Arabidopsis thaliana: one gene and its partner. The protein of the gene in region 1 interacts with the protein of each later gene in a pairwise test. Each region holds a gene or a part of one and is shown in the gene's direction. Other genes may lie near its edges.

What was found.
Region 2: the proteins of AT4G23740 (region 1) and MLO2 interact in a protein complementation assay, tested with the Arabidopsis thaliana proteins (one large-scale study listed by BioGRID).

Annotation. Positions count from the first base shown.
Region 1 is NC_003075.7:12,364,197-12,369,878, forward strand, and holds AT4G23740 (Leucine-rich repeat protein kinase family protein), read left to right. Parts: upstream 1-1,885; 5' UTR 1,886-2,436; intron 2,437-2,654; exon of another isoform or gene 2,655-2,819; 5' UTR 2,820-2,866; coding exon 2,867-4,133; intron 4,134-4,231; coding exon 4,232-4,582; intron 4,583-4,664; coding exon 4,665-4,963; 3' UTR 4,964-5,142; downstream 5,143-5,682. Other genes in the region: AT4G23730 (Galactose mutarotase-like superfamily protein), read left to right, coding at 1-46, 139-341, 409-596.
Region 2 is NC_003070.9:3,799,950-3,806,221, reverse strand, and holds MLO2 (Seven transmembrane MLO family protein), read left to right. Parts: upstream 1-1,988; 5' UTR 1,989-2,351; coding exon 2,352-2,474; intron 2,475-2,526; exon of another isoform or gene 2,527-2,662; coding exon 2,663-2,720; intron 2,721-2,835; coding exon 2,836-3,101; intron 3,102-3,194; coding exon 3,195-3,311; intron 3,312-3,404; coding exon 3,405-3,465; intron 3,466-3,535; coding exon 3,536-3,699; intron 3,700-3,782; coding exon 3,783-3,877; intron 3,878-3,963; coding exon 3,964-4,013; intron 4,014-4,099; coding exon 4,100-4,140; intron 4,141-4,219; coding exon 4,220-4,393; intron 4,394-4,483; coding exon 4,484-4,519; intron 4,520-4,604; coding exon 4,605-4,672; coding exon of another isoform or gene 4,673-4,676; exon of another isoform or gene 4,677-4,761; coding exon 4,762-4,822; intron 4,823-4,915; coding exon 4,916-5,323; 3' UTR 5,324-5,502; downstream 5,503-6,272. Other genes in the region: AT1G11303 (G-type lectin S-receptor-like Serine/Threonine-kinase), read right to left, coding at 5,503-5,811, 5,891-6,020, 6,105-6,272.

The DNA of each region.
Region 1 (5,682 bases):
GCTTTTCCATTGCTTACCACACTTACTTCTCCATTTCCGATATTAGGTGAAACACCGAATTTAGCCTCTACTAGTCTCTGCTGTCACATAATATAACGTAGAACTCAATACATTCTCTTTTCTTTTGGTATTTATCAGTGAAGTTAGACTTGAAGGGCTGGAAACTCTTGACTATCTTGATAATATGCATGATAGAGAGCGGTTCACAGAGCAAGGCGATGCATTAACCTTTGAATCAGAGATCGATAGAGTGTACCTAAATTCTAAAGACGTGGTTGCCATTTTCGACCATGAGAGAAAACGCACATTCCTCATCAAGAAAGAAGGTCTACCTGATGTCGGTAAGATCCAAATACCGAAAACCTTAACCGCCCTTTTTACCAAGAATCCAGTTTTTAACAGTATTAGATTCTCGGTTTGTTGCAGTGGTATGGAATCCATGGGAGAAGAAAGCGAGAGCATTGACGGATTTGGGAGATGATGAGTATAGACACATGTTGTGTGTGGATGGAGCAGCCATTGAGAAACCCATCACCTTGAAACCGGGTGAAGAATGGACCGGGAAATTACATCTCTCGCTTGTTCTTTCCACCTAAAACCCGGTACCGGTTATCACAAACTCTGTGTCTTTCATTATCTTGTCTTGTGGGCTATTTTTTTTGTTTTAGTCTATAGAACATCACAGTGTGTGTGATTCGTCGGTATCAAAAATCCGAAATATTAAAAGGAAACCTGAGATTTGAAAAGGTCACCCATTTTTAGGAAGTGACTAGATCTCCTGGTTTTGTGCGAGATTTAACTTGTGTATGAAGACAATGTTATATACTATATTGAAGTTTGTACTTATTTGATGAAATCTTCAATAATACTAGATTTTAACCCGCGGTATATCGCGGGGACAATTTATTTTTTTAAGTTAGTATATATAAAAGTTTACAAATTATATCTATCTATAAAATATTTTTATTTTATAGTTTACAATTGTTATTAAGTAACGTCCTATCAAATCCGTCCCGCCAACCTGTCCCGTAAAAAAAACTCATTGATCTCATTTATGATATGTTTATGAATCATTGTTTAAATATTTTGTAATTTTGTAGTAATTAAATGCTATCAAATATTTGTGCGGTTTGATGATTATAATCGAATTGTTATAGTCATGTAGAAAAACAATATCAAAAATAATAATTTTGTAGTAATTCAATGATATTAAATATATTGGAAGTTTTATTTTAGTAACTAATCGTGTAGTTAATGTAGAGAGATTTCGGGAAGATTTTCAAATATTTAATTCAAAAATTTTATTTTTAATTATCAAAACAAACATTAAAATCCAGTGGCAGCTATTGTAAATAAATCTCAACTACAAAATTTATTTCACAAAATGGCTGCAAAAATGTATATGTAGATTTAAAGCTTTCTTGTTCTCATGGTTGACAATTCTTGAATAAACCATTTCTGAGACCATAAGCTAATTTTTTTGGGTACATATTTCAAGTATAGGAACAAAACTATAGTATAAAATAATCTTTATAGATTCAAATGCTTTAATGGCCTTATACTCATTGCCTCTCAATGTGGTAAGATGGTGTAAAATCATCATAATAATCATGAAAGATTTGAAAATTATTGGTCTATTATGATGCACTATAAATTCTATAATTGCGTCGGTCAAATATTTAATACACCGAAGAAATAGTAATATTATAAAAAGAGAATATTTATTGATGCCAAAAAGAAACCAAGAATTTTATTAAAATGGTAGAAGTCGATATGCTTTAAATGCCTTGAGCTTCATTATGACAAGTACTACAAAACAAAAAAAAACGTATTTGCCTAATACATTTGGTAAGTTAAATAATTTCCTTCTTAACATAATTAATTACTATATCGTTCTTTTTGTTAGCGTTGACCAATTAAACAACCGGTTATGTATATCTCGGTTCAGAAAACTTAACCGGTTTAACAAATAGCTAATGTTCCGATTAATTTACATTACTTCAGAACGAATCGAACTTTGTAAAACGAAGATCGATTACAAATTGAAAGATACAGCCTTAATTTGGCATTAAAAAGTTCAATGGTCCCCGGTTCGGTATTAAATAACCGGGTACGTACAGACTCACCGGTCACCAACCTGTAAACCGTATAAAGAAACAATAGAGTCGCATCAGTATCTTCCCTCGTCACTTTCACCCACTTTAATATGCCAAAAAATAAGAACAAAATTATATCCGTTGCTTGAAAATCACAAGCTCTTCTTAACTTCACAAGTGCTTCAATGGCGGTTCTTCACATTATCTTCACTGCGTAATTGAAGAAGTTGTTCTCTCTTCCTCTTAATTTCGAGTTGTGTTCTTAAAAAACTCCAGAGCTGATTCGATTCTCGAGAAGAAACTAAGCCGACAATAAAGTTCAGATCTGGAAAAAAGCGAGGTTACCAATTCTTTATTTTTAATAAATTTAATCTCGTAGTAGAGTTAGGGTTCTACTTTTCGACAATTTTAATTACCAGAAATTCTAGGGTTTATGTGAGTTTAAATTAAAGCTTCGTCATTTTCGAAGCTTAAAGTTACTCACTTTTTATGTCTCCCACTCCTGTTGTATTTTAAAATCTCCAGTGGTCACATAGAACAACTTCAAGATTCCACTTTTGCTTTTATAATCAGCAGTCTTCTAGAAATCTGTAATCTTTTCGCTTTTTTGGTACCTTTTATTTTAAATTAAAGTTCACAAATTTTCACCATTTATATGTCCATCATCATCATCACCACAATCAAATTGAGCTAAATTGGTTTTTGATTGTTGTTTTTCTCCAGCTCCAGATTACAAAAAGAAACAGCTCGTTTTTTTCACTTTCAAAAAAATGGAAGCTTTGAGGATTTATCTATGGAGTCTCTGTCTCTCTCTGTGTTTGATTATCTATGGAGCAAACTCAGATCCATTAGAAGACAAACGCGCATTGCTTGAGTTTCTTACCATTATGCAACCAACTCGTTCACTCAACTGGAACGAGACTTCTCAAGTCTGCAACATCTGGACCGGAGTTACTTGTAATCAAGACGGATCTCGAATCATAGCCGTTAGATTACCAGGCGTTGGACTCAATGGTCAGATTCCTCCAAACACTATAAGCAGACTCTCAGCTCTCAGAGTTCTTAGTCTCAGATCCAATCTAATCTCCGGCGAGTTTCCTAAGGATTTTGTTGAGTTGAAAGATTTGGCCTTTCTTTATCTTCAGGATAACAACTTGTCTGGTCCTTTGCCATTGGATTTCTCTGTTTGGAAGAATCTCACTAGTGTTAATCTCTCAAACAACGGGTTCAACGGGACAATCCCGAGTTCGTTGTCTCGTCTTAAGCGGATTCAGTCGTTAAATCTTGCTAACAATACGCTTTCTGGTGATATTCCTGATCTGAGTGTGCTCTCTAGTCTGCAGCACATTGACTTGTCCAACAATTATGATCTTGCTGGACCGATACCAGATTGGCTTCGAAGGTTCCCGTTCTCGTCTTATACAGGCATTGATATTATTCCTCCTGGTGGTAACTACACCCTCGTTACGCCGCCACCACCTAGCGAGCAGACTCATCAGAAACCGTCGAAAGCTCGCTTCTTGGGACTATCCGAGACGGTGTTCTTGTTGATTGTTATTGCTGTTTCCATTGTGGTGATTACGGCTTTGGCGTTTGTGTTGACTGTTTGTTACGTAAGAAGGAAGTTAAGACGCGGTGATGGGGTCATTTCGGATAATAAGTTGCAGAAGAAAGGTGGGATGTCTCCTGAGAAATTTGTTTCTCGGATGGAAGATGTGAACAACCGGTTATCGTTCTTTGAAGGATGTAACTACTCTTTTGATCTTGAGGATCTATTGAGAGCTTCTGCTGAGGTTCTTGGTAAAGGCACGTTTGGCACGACGTACAAAGCAGTTCTTGAAGATGCAACTTCTGTTGCTGTGAAACGTCTTAAGGATGTTGCGGCTGGGAAACGTGATTTCGAGCAGCAGATGGAGATCATTGGAGGTATTAAGCATGAAAACGTTGTGGAGCTTAAGGCATACTATTACTCTAAAGACGAGAAGCTAATGGTTTATGACTATTTCAGCCGAGGAAGTGTGGCTTCTTTGCTTCATGGTACGTTTCACTTTTTGATCTAATGCATCATAACTACTATCAGAATCAAACCCATTTGCTTTAGGCTCATTGTAGAGTTGAAATGTTTTGGTTTTCAGGTAACAGAGGAGAAAACAGGATTCCTCTAGACTGGGAAACAAGAATGAAAATAGCTATTGGCGCAGCTAAAGGGATTGCTCGTATCCACAAAGAAAACAATGGAAAACTCGTCCATGGGAACATCAAATCTTCGAATATATTCTTGAATTCCGAGAGTAATGGCTGTGTCTCTGATCTTGGATTAACTGCTGTAATGAGTCCCTTGGCTCCACCGATATCGAGGCAAGCTGGTTACCGTGCACCAGAAGTAACCGACACAAGGAAGTCTTCTCAATTGTCAGATGTTTACAGCTTCGGTGTTGTTCTACTCGAACTACTCACGGGAAAATCGCCCATTCACACTACCGCAGGTAACGCTACAACCCGAAGTGACTAGACTGTTTCAGCTGATATATTTTCGGTTTAATGATCATTCTGTGATGGACATTGCAGGGGACGAGATCATCCACTTGGTTAGATGGGTACATTCAGTAGTGAGAGAGGAATGGACCGCAGAAGTATTCGACATCGAGCTTCTGAGGTATACAAACATAGAGGAAGAGATGGTTGAGATGTTGCAGATTGCAATGTCCTGTGTTGTGAAAGCAGCAGATCAGAGGCCAAAGATGTCTGATTTGGTTAGGCTCATCGAGAACGTTGGAAACCGACGAACCAGCATTGAACCGGAACCCGAACTCAAACCCAAATCCGAAAATGGAGCCTCAGAGACTTCAACACCGAGTGAAATTTGAATCTATCAAAATTCTAACTGTTGATTCATCATCCCATATTTTACATATGAAGTTTGTATACTCCTGTGTTTATTTCTTCTCTCTTCGGTTTAGAACCGGTTCAACAAACACATTTCTGTTTAGGAATTCTTGGTTTTCAAAATTCGCTATGAAATAGATTCAAATTTCTGATTCACAAGTTTGTTTCATCAAAGCCTCTAAACCAGGGAAACCAACTGCTTCAGAGCCCAAAAAGCCCATTGGGCCGATATAATTATACAGAGTCGACAAAGTTTTATTTCTAGTACTTGTTTGACCCATAATCTTCTTCGGCTAGAGCCCGGCCTGTGATCGAACCGACAAAATGGAACTAGTGGTCTCAAGTAATGCGATATTTGGAGGGTTCTAACTTCTAAGAAGCACCACAAGCCAGCCTAAGACCCACATGGTATCCTCAGGATCATATTTGAATGGAGTTTGGACTAATAATTTATGTTTTTCATATTATCTATTTTACTGAAATACTAACATTTTCTGAGTCAAAAGAAAAGAGTTCATACAAAATGTTTTGTCGTGAATTGTGTTTTGGAGCCTTGGAGGAGGAACAGGTAGGTGGCAGGGATTACAATAGGAAGGAGACAAATAAGGCAAGTTACAACGTGAACTTGATTTGTCTAATTCCAGAAAATGACGTGTCCTTGCTGCTCATATACTGCAATAAGGCTTCTCTTCTTCTTTCC
Region 2 (6,272 bases), on another chromosome or scaffold:
GTCTTAGATTCTTTTATAAATCATATTCATATGTGACTAACACGTCTTCACATTCTCATTTGATCATGTTGCTTAAAACAAATATCTCATCAACCACATAAGCAATAAATGTTTTTAGTTTTTGTTTGATTCAGTTCATTAATATATAATTACATGTCCATCTTAAGCGTTCCGTTAATTATCACATTTTTAAACTCTATGTGATTAGTTGCAGTTTGCAACTTGGTTTGTCAATTAACAATAATGTATAATTTACATATCTGTTTTTTTTGCGATTTTTTTTTTTTTTACATATATGTATGCCTCAGCATGCATTGTTATTTGTTGACTCTTTGAACTTAAGTTGTGTCCAATTGTGTCAGTCATAAATATGAACACGTGTTAAATATTATAGAGAAAGATTTGAGTTTTTACAATCTTATAATCCACTCTCCATAGTTTATATATGTACATGCACGATCAGTTTTAACTAATAATCATAAACATATATGTACATGTACAATCAATCTCATATGCAATCAAAGTAAATATAAATTAAAAAAAATGTATATATGGATCTCGTTTAGTTTAAATTCTAAACGTATATTGTCGAAGGAGAAAAACTATAATTTTGTTTGTGTATATTGATTGATTCTTCAGTAATTTCTTCAACTATTCTGATATATATATATATATATATATATATATATATCTACTTGCAATCATAGTTTAAAGATGTTATTTCTGTTAGATGTTTAATCTTGTTTTTTTCTGTCAGTAGTCTTTAATCACGTGCCAAGTAAGCAAAACACTCTCATTATTTTAAAGAATGTTGATTAAATAAACATTCGATGGGCGATGGCTATTGGAAACTGGAAAGTCAGCTAAATACAACAATTTTCCACTTAACATTCTAATTATCTAACTATTAATTATTAATCATTGCTGCATGCCTCTGTTCAACTGTACAGGCTGTTTTCGAATATTTTGTAGAGTACAACTTATCAAAAAATCCCAAACTCTTTTATCTGACAATAATATTTTAAGATATAAGAAATAGTCATAGTATCATATTTTTCAAACTATACAATTTTTATAATTTCATTAAAAGGCAAAATAAAAACCAGGTTACGTAATTAATTTAATAGTCAAATGTTTGCTACAATAATATATTTACAATTCTAGTTACATCTAAGTGTAATAAAATTACAATTCCATTATAGATAGTATAATGGATGATAAAACTTTTGTACAGTTGATAGTAAGAAAATTTAATAAAATATAGGATATTAACAAGAAAAAAAAAACAAAAAAAAAAAAACACGTTAATGGGTAAACTTCGAAACTGAAATTTTTGTAGAAAAAAACAATCACATCATCAATGTATCTTTCAAAATAATGTTTTGACAACTTATCAGTCACTTTTAATTGGGTGTGTTAGAAATAGAGGTACAGTTTAAAGTTTTTATTAGGTTTTGGGTGGTAAGGTGTGTTAGAAATCAGTTTATTTTTTAATCAGTCATTGGTGGTGGTGGAAAATATCATTTTCAAATTTCAAGTAGCAATTATGGGTGAAATTTCTTGTATAAATTTCAAGTAGCAATTAATATATCTTTTTTTATATATAGAAAATTTACATTTTGGTAAAAATTTAAATTAAAAAAAGGAGCATGGTTATATCTTGAATCTTGGTATCTACGAGCATATTATTTAGATATAACAAACAAGTTGGGAATAGACAAAACAAAATGACGAACTTTCCAACGAAAGATCCCATTATAGTAATGTTATTCTTATTTATACTTATACAATCTCTAGTGGCTTCCAAAGTACACAAAATGGGAGTATTATACCAACAAAAATAAACGACTAATGAATCAAAAAATTCAAAATTTGCTTTATTTTATTCTGAAAATCTAACGAGCTGAAACCAAAATGTTATAGATTTAAAATAGAAACAAAACACCGATGATTGACCCAATAAAAAGCAAAATAAAGTAGACCAAAAAGAATAATGGTTATGCTGATAATTGAGGAGTCGTCGTCACTCGTCACATGAGAGGAACAACAAGAAAAGTCAAAACGTTGAAGCTTTCTCGAATAACGCCTTCTTTAGTTTACAGTCTCTCGTTGCGGGTCTTATCTTCTTCTTCTTCTTCCCTCTTTCGTCTGCTCTATATTATGACCAGATTCAAAATTGCGTAGCGTACTAATTCAATATAGAGAGAAGTTAGATCAAAAGAAGAACACGAAACTCTGACTGTGTCTCTCTTTCTCTTCGTGTGTTTCTATATTTATATATAAAAAGACAAGATCTCTGGTCTGGAATTAGAAGAATCTTATTTGGGGTTTTTTCTTAGGATTAAGCTCTAATGGCAGATCAAGTAAAAGAGCGGACTTTAGAGGAGACCTCTACGTGGGCAGTTGCTGTTGTTTGCTTTGTCTTACTCTTTATTTCGATTGTCCTCGAACATTCTATTCACAAAATTGGAACCGTAAGTCTCTTTATATTTCTCCTTATTTCAAGATTCCCCTGTTTCTTGCTCTGCTTTCTGCTCTGTTTCTTTAATTACTGCTCTGTTTTTTTGGATTTGTTTAGTTCTTCTCCTATCACTATCAACACTACTAAATCTGTGAGAATAACGAAAATATCTGATCATTCCTTTTTTTGTGCCTTAAACAGTGGTTTAAAAAGAAGCACAAGCAGGCTCTTTTTGAAGCTCTTGAAAAGGTCAAAGCAGGTAACTATCTTTTTCTACTTAACTTGATCCATTATCAACAAGCTTCTTATCTTTTTCTACTTAACTTCATCCATTAACAAGCTCCTGATTTTGTTTTCTACGTAACTTCATTCAGAGCTTATGCTGTTGGGATTCATATCACTACTACTCACAATTGGACAAACACCAATCTCAAATATCTGCATCTCCCAGAAAGTTGCGTCAACAATGCACCCTTGCAGTGCTGCTGAAGAAGCTAAAAAATACGGCAAGAAAGACGCCGGAAAGAAAGATGATGGAGATGGAGATAAACCCGGTCGAAGACTTCTTCTTGAGTTAGCTGAATCTTATATCCATAGAAGAAGTTTAGCCACCAAAGGCTATGACAAATGTGCAGAGAAGGTAACTAATAATCTCCCTTCTCTCTCTATATAAAAATCATTCTCTGCTTGTTAAACCGATGGAATTTTGATTTCTATTGATGGATTTACTCAGGGGAAAGTGGCTTTTGTATCTGCTTATGGAATCCACCAGCTGCATATATTCATCTTCGTGCTCGCGGTTGTTCATGTTGTTTACTGCATTGTTACTTATGCTTTCGGAAAGATCAAGGTAACTAACATTTCTTGTGACTTACGCAGTTGTTAAGGCGAGAAAAAGAGTGTATGCAAAAGATTTTTATACTTGTTTTCTTGAGTATTGCAGATGAGGACGTGGAAGTCGTGGGAGGAAGAGACAAAGACAATAGAGTATCAGTATTCCAACGGTATGTAAATATGTGAGTATTCGACGAAACTTAAAGACCTGAATGGGAATGAATTAGTCTTGTTATGCAGATCCTGAGAGGTTCAGGTTTGCGAGGGACACATCTTTTGGGAGAAGACATCTCAATTTCTGGAGCAAGACGAGAGTCACACTATGGATTGTTTGTTTTTTTAGACAGTTCTTTGGATCTGTCACCAAAGTTGATTACTTAGCACTAAGACATGGTTTCATCATGGTATGGAATTTATTCTTTTTATCTATTGTTCATTATAACATGTATCTCTCAAAGACAATGATCTAACATTCTACATATTTCAGGCGCATTTTGCTCCCGGTAACGAATCAAGATTCGATTTCCGCAAGTATATTCAGAGATCATTAGAGAAAGACTTCAAAACCGTTGTTGAAATCAGGTTTGGATCTAATAATGATTGCTTTATAAAGTCTGAGCAAAGCCAATTTGGATATTTTATCTTAAATCTCTGCCAACTTTATGCAGTCCGGTTATCTGGTTTGTCGCTGTGCTATTCCTCTTGACCAATTCATATGGTAACGTTCATTGCTTACTCGCAAAAACTACATTTTAGCTGCATCAATAGTCGCACAAAAGTGACATCGGTTTTCTTTTGAAACAGGATTACGTTCTTACCTCTGGTTACCATTCATTCCACTAGTCGTAAGTACAAACAAACTCTTGAACCGATTTTGTCTTTTTGCCGCCAGTTTTGTAACAGAGTGAAAATATATAACTGCAGGTAATTCTAATAGTTGGAACAAAGCTTGAAGTCATAATAACAAAATTGGGTCTAAGAATCCAAGAGAAAGGTGATGTGGTGAGAGGCGCCCCAGTGGTTCAGCCTGGTGATGACCTCTTCTGGTTTGGCAAGCCACGCTTCATTCTTTTCCTTATTCACTTGGTCCTTTTTACGGTACAATACTTGTATCCTTCACCGCTCGTTTTTTCGATCTTTTTCGGGTTTTTTCTCCTAACGGTAGAATAAATTTTCTTATCTTTGCAGAATGCATTTCAACTTGCATTCTTTGCCTGGAGTACGGTAAGCGAGCCATTTCATTTTCTTTGAAAACATCGCTGTTACGGGCTATACTAATTGTTATGTCATAAATTTTCTGTATTTGCAGTATGAATTCAATCTCAATAATTGTTTCCATGAAAGCACTGCAGATGTGGTCATTAGACTTGTAGTTGGGTAAGCTAACATTATCTTGACTATTGATTCTTCTGAGAATTTGTCCTTTAACTGAAAAAGTATAATCCCCCTTTTTATAAATCTTGCAGAGCTGTTGTGCAGATACTTTGCAGCTATGTGACTCTTCCACTCTATGCACTTGTTACTCAGGTACTAGAAAACATTAGTGTTACATGGATGCCAGATTTTGGTTATATGATCTTTAGTTTTTTTTACATTGTGTTGAATGAAAATTGTGTGCAGATGGGTAGTAAAATGAAGCCAACAGTATTCAACGATAGAGTAGCCACGGCATTAAAGAAGTGGCATCACACTGCAAAGAACGAGACGAAACACGGAAGACACTCGGGATCCAACACACCTTTCTCTAGCCGTCCAACCACACCAACACATGGCTCATCTCCAATCCATCTCCTTCACAATTTCAATAACCGGAGCGTTGAAAATTACCCAAGTTCTCCTTCTCCTAGATACTCTGGTCATGGTCATCATGAACACCAATTTTGGGATCCTGAGTCTCAACACCAAGAAGCTGAAACTTCCACACATCATTCTCTTGCGCATGAAAGCTCAGAACCTGTTCTTGCATCTGTGGAACTTCCTCCTATAAGGACTAGCAAAAGCTTAAGAGATTTTTCTTTTAAGAAATGATGATTCTTGTTTGCTATATTTGATTTCGTACAGTGGGAAATTTGTCATATGAAAATAATTTCTTGTACATTACTAGTTGGATAAGAAATAACCATATCTATATGGATACATGATATGTTATTCTCTGGCAATGCTTAAGAGTTTCACGAATTACACATACATTTGTATTTCTGCAGGTTTTAACGTCCTGAGACATCAGTGATGGTGACATTGTTGATAGAGGCTTTAAGAGCAATGCTCTCAGAGAACTCAGCTTCTAAACCAACGTTTCTAGGCATAAAAGCAGGCTGTTTCGGTTCTGGAATGTCTGCAACCTCACTGCTAAGCATCATACACACTGTAGAAACACTTGGCCTATCATTAGCAGCGTCTTGCACACACAAAAGCGCAATGTGAACGCATTTTCGTATTTCTTTCTCAAAAAGTTGGTCAAAAATCTCAGGATCTACCATACCATTAATCTCCCCTTCGTTCCAGATTGACCACACCTATGAAACATAGAAGCTTTGATGGCTTGATGACAATCTCAAGAGAGTTAAGAAACTTTACGAGTTAAAGTAGACTCACATGAGCCAAAAGAGTTGAATGTGAGTTTCTTCTTCCACTGATAATCTCTAAGAGTATCACTCCTAAGCTGAAAACATCAGATTTCTCTGAAAACAGTCCTCCCATTGCATATTCAGGTGCCATATAGCCACTGCACGATACATTTATTTTCTCGGTTTTAGGACTCTTAATGGAAAAAAAAGATGTAAACATATGGTTGAATGGAGTTACATACTATGTTCCAACGACCCTTCTGGTGTTTGCTTCATCTTCATTCCCCGGGAATATCCTGGCCAACCCAAAATCAGATATTTTCGGAATCAGATTCTCATCTAGCAAGATGTTGCTTGCTTTCAGATCTCTGTGAATGATTCTCAGCCTAGAATCTCTGTGAAGGTACAGG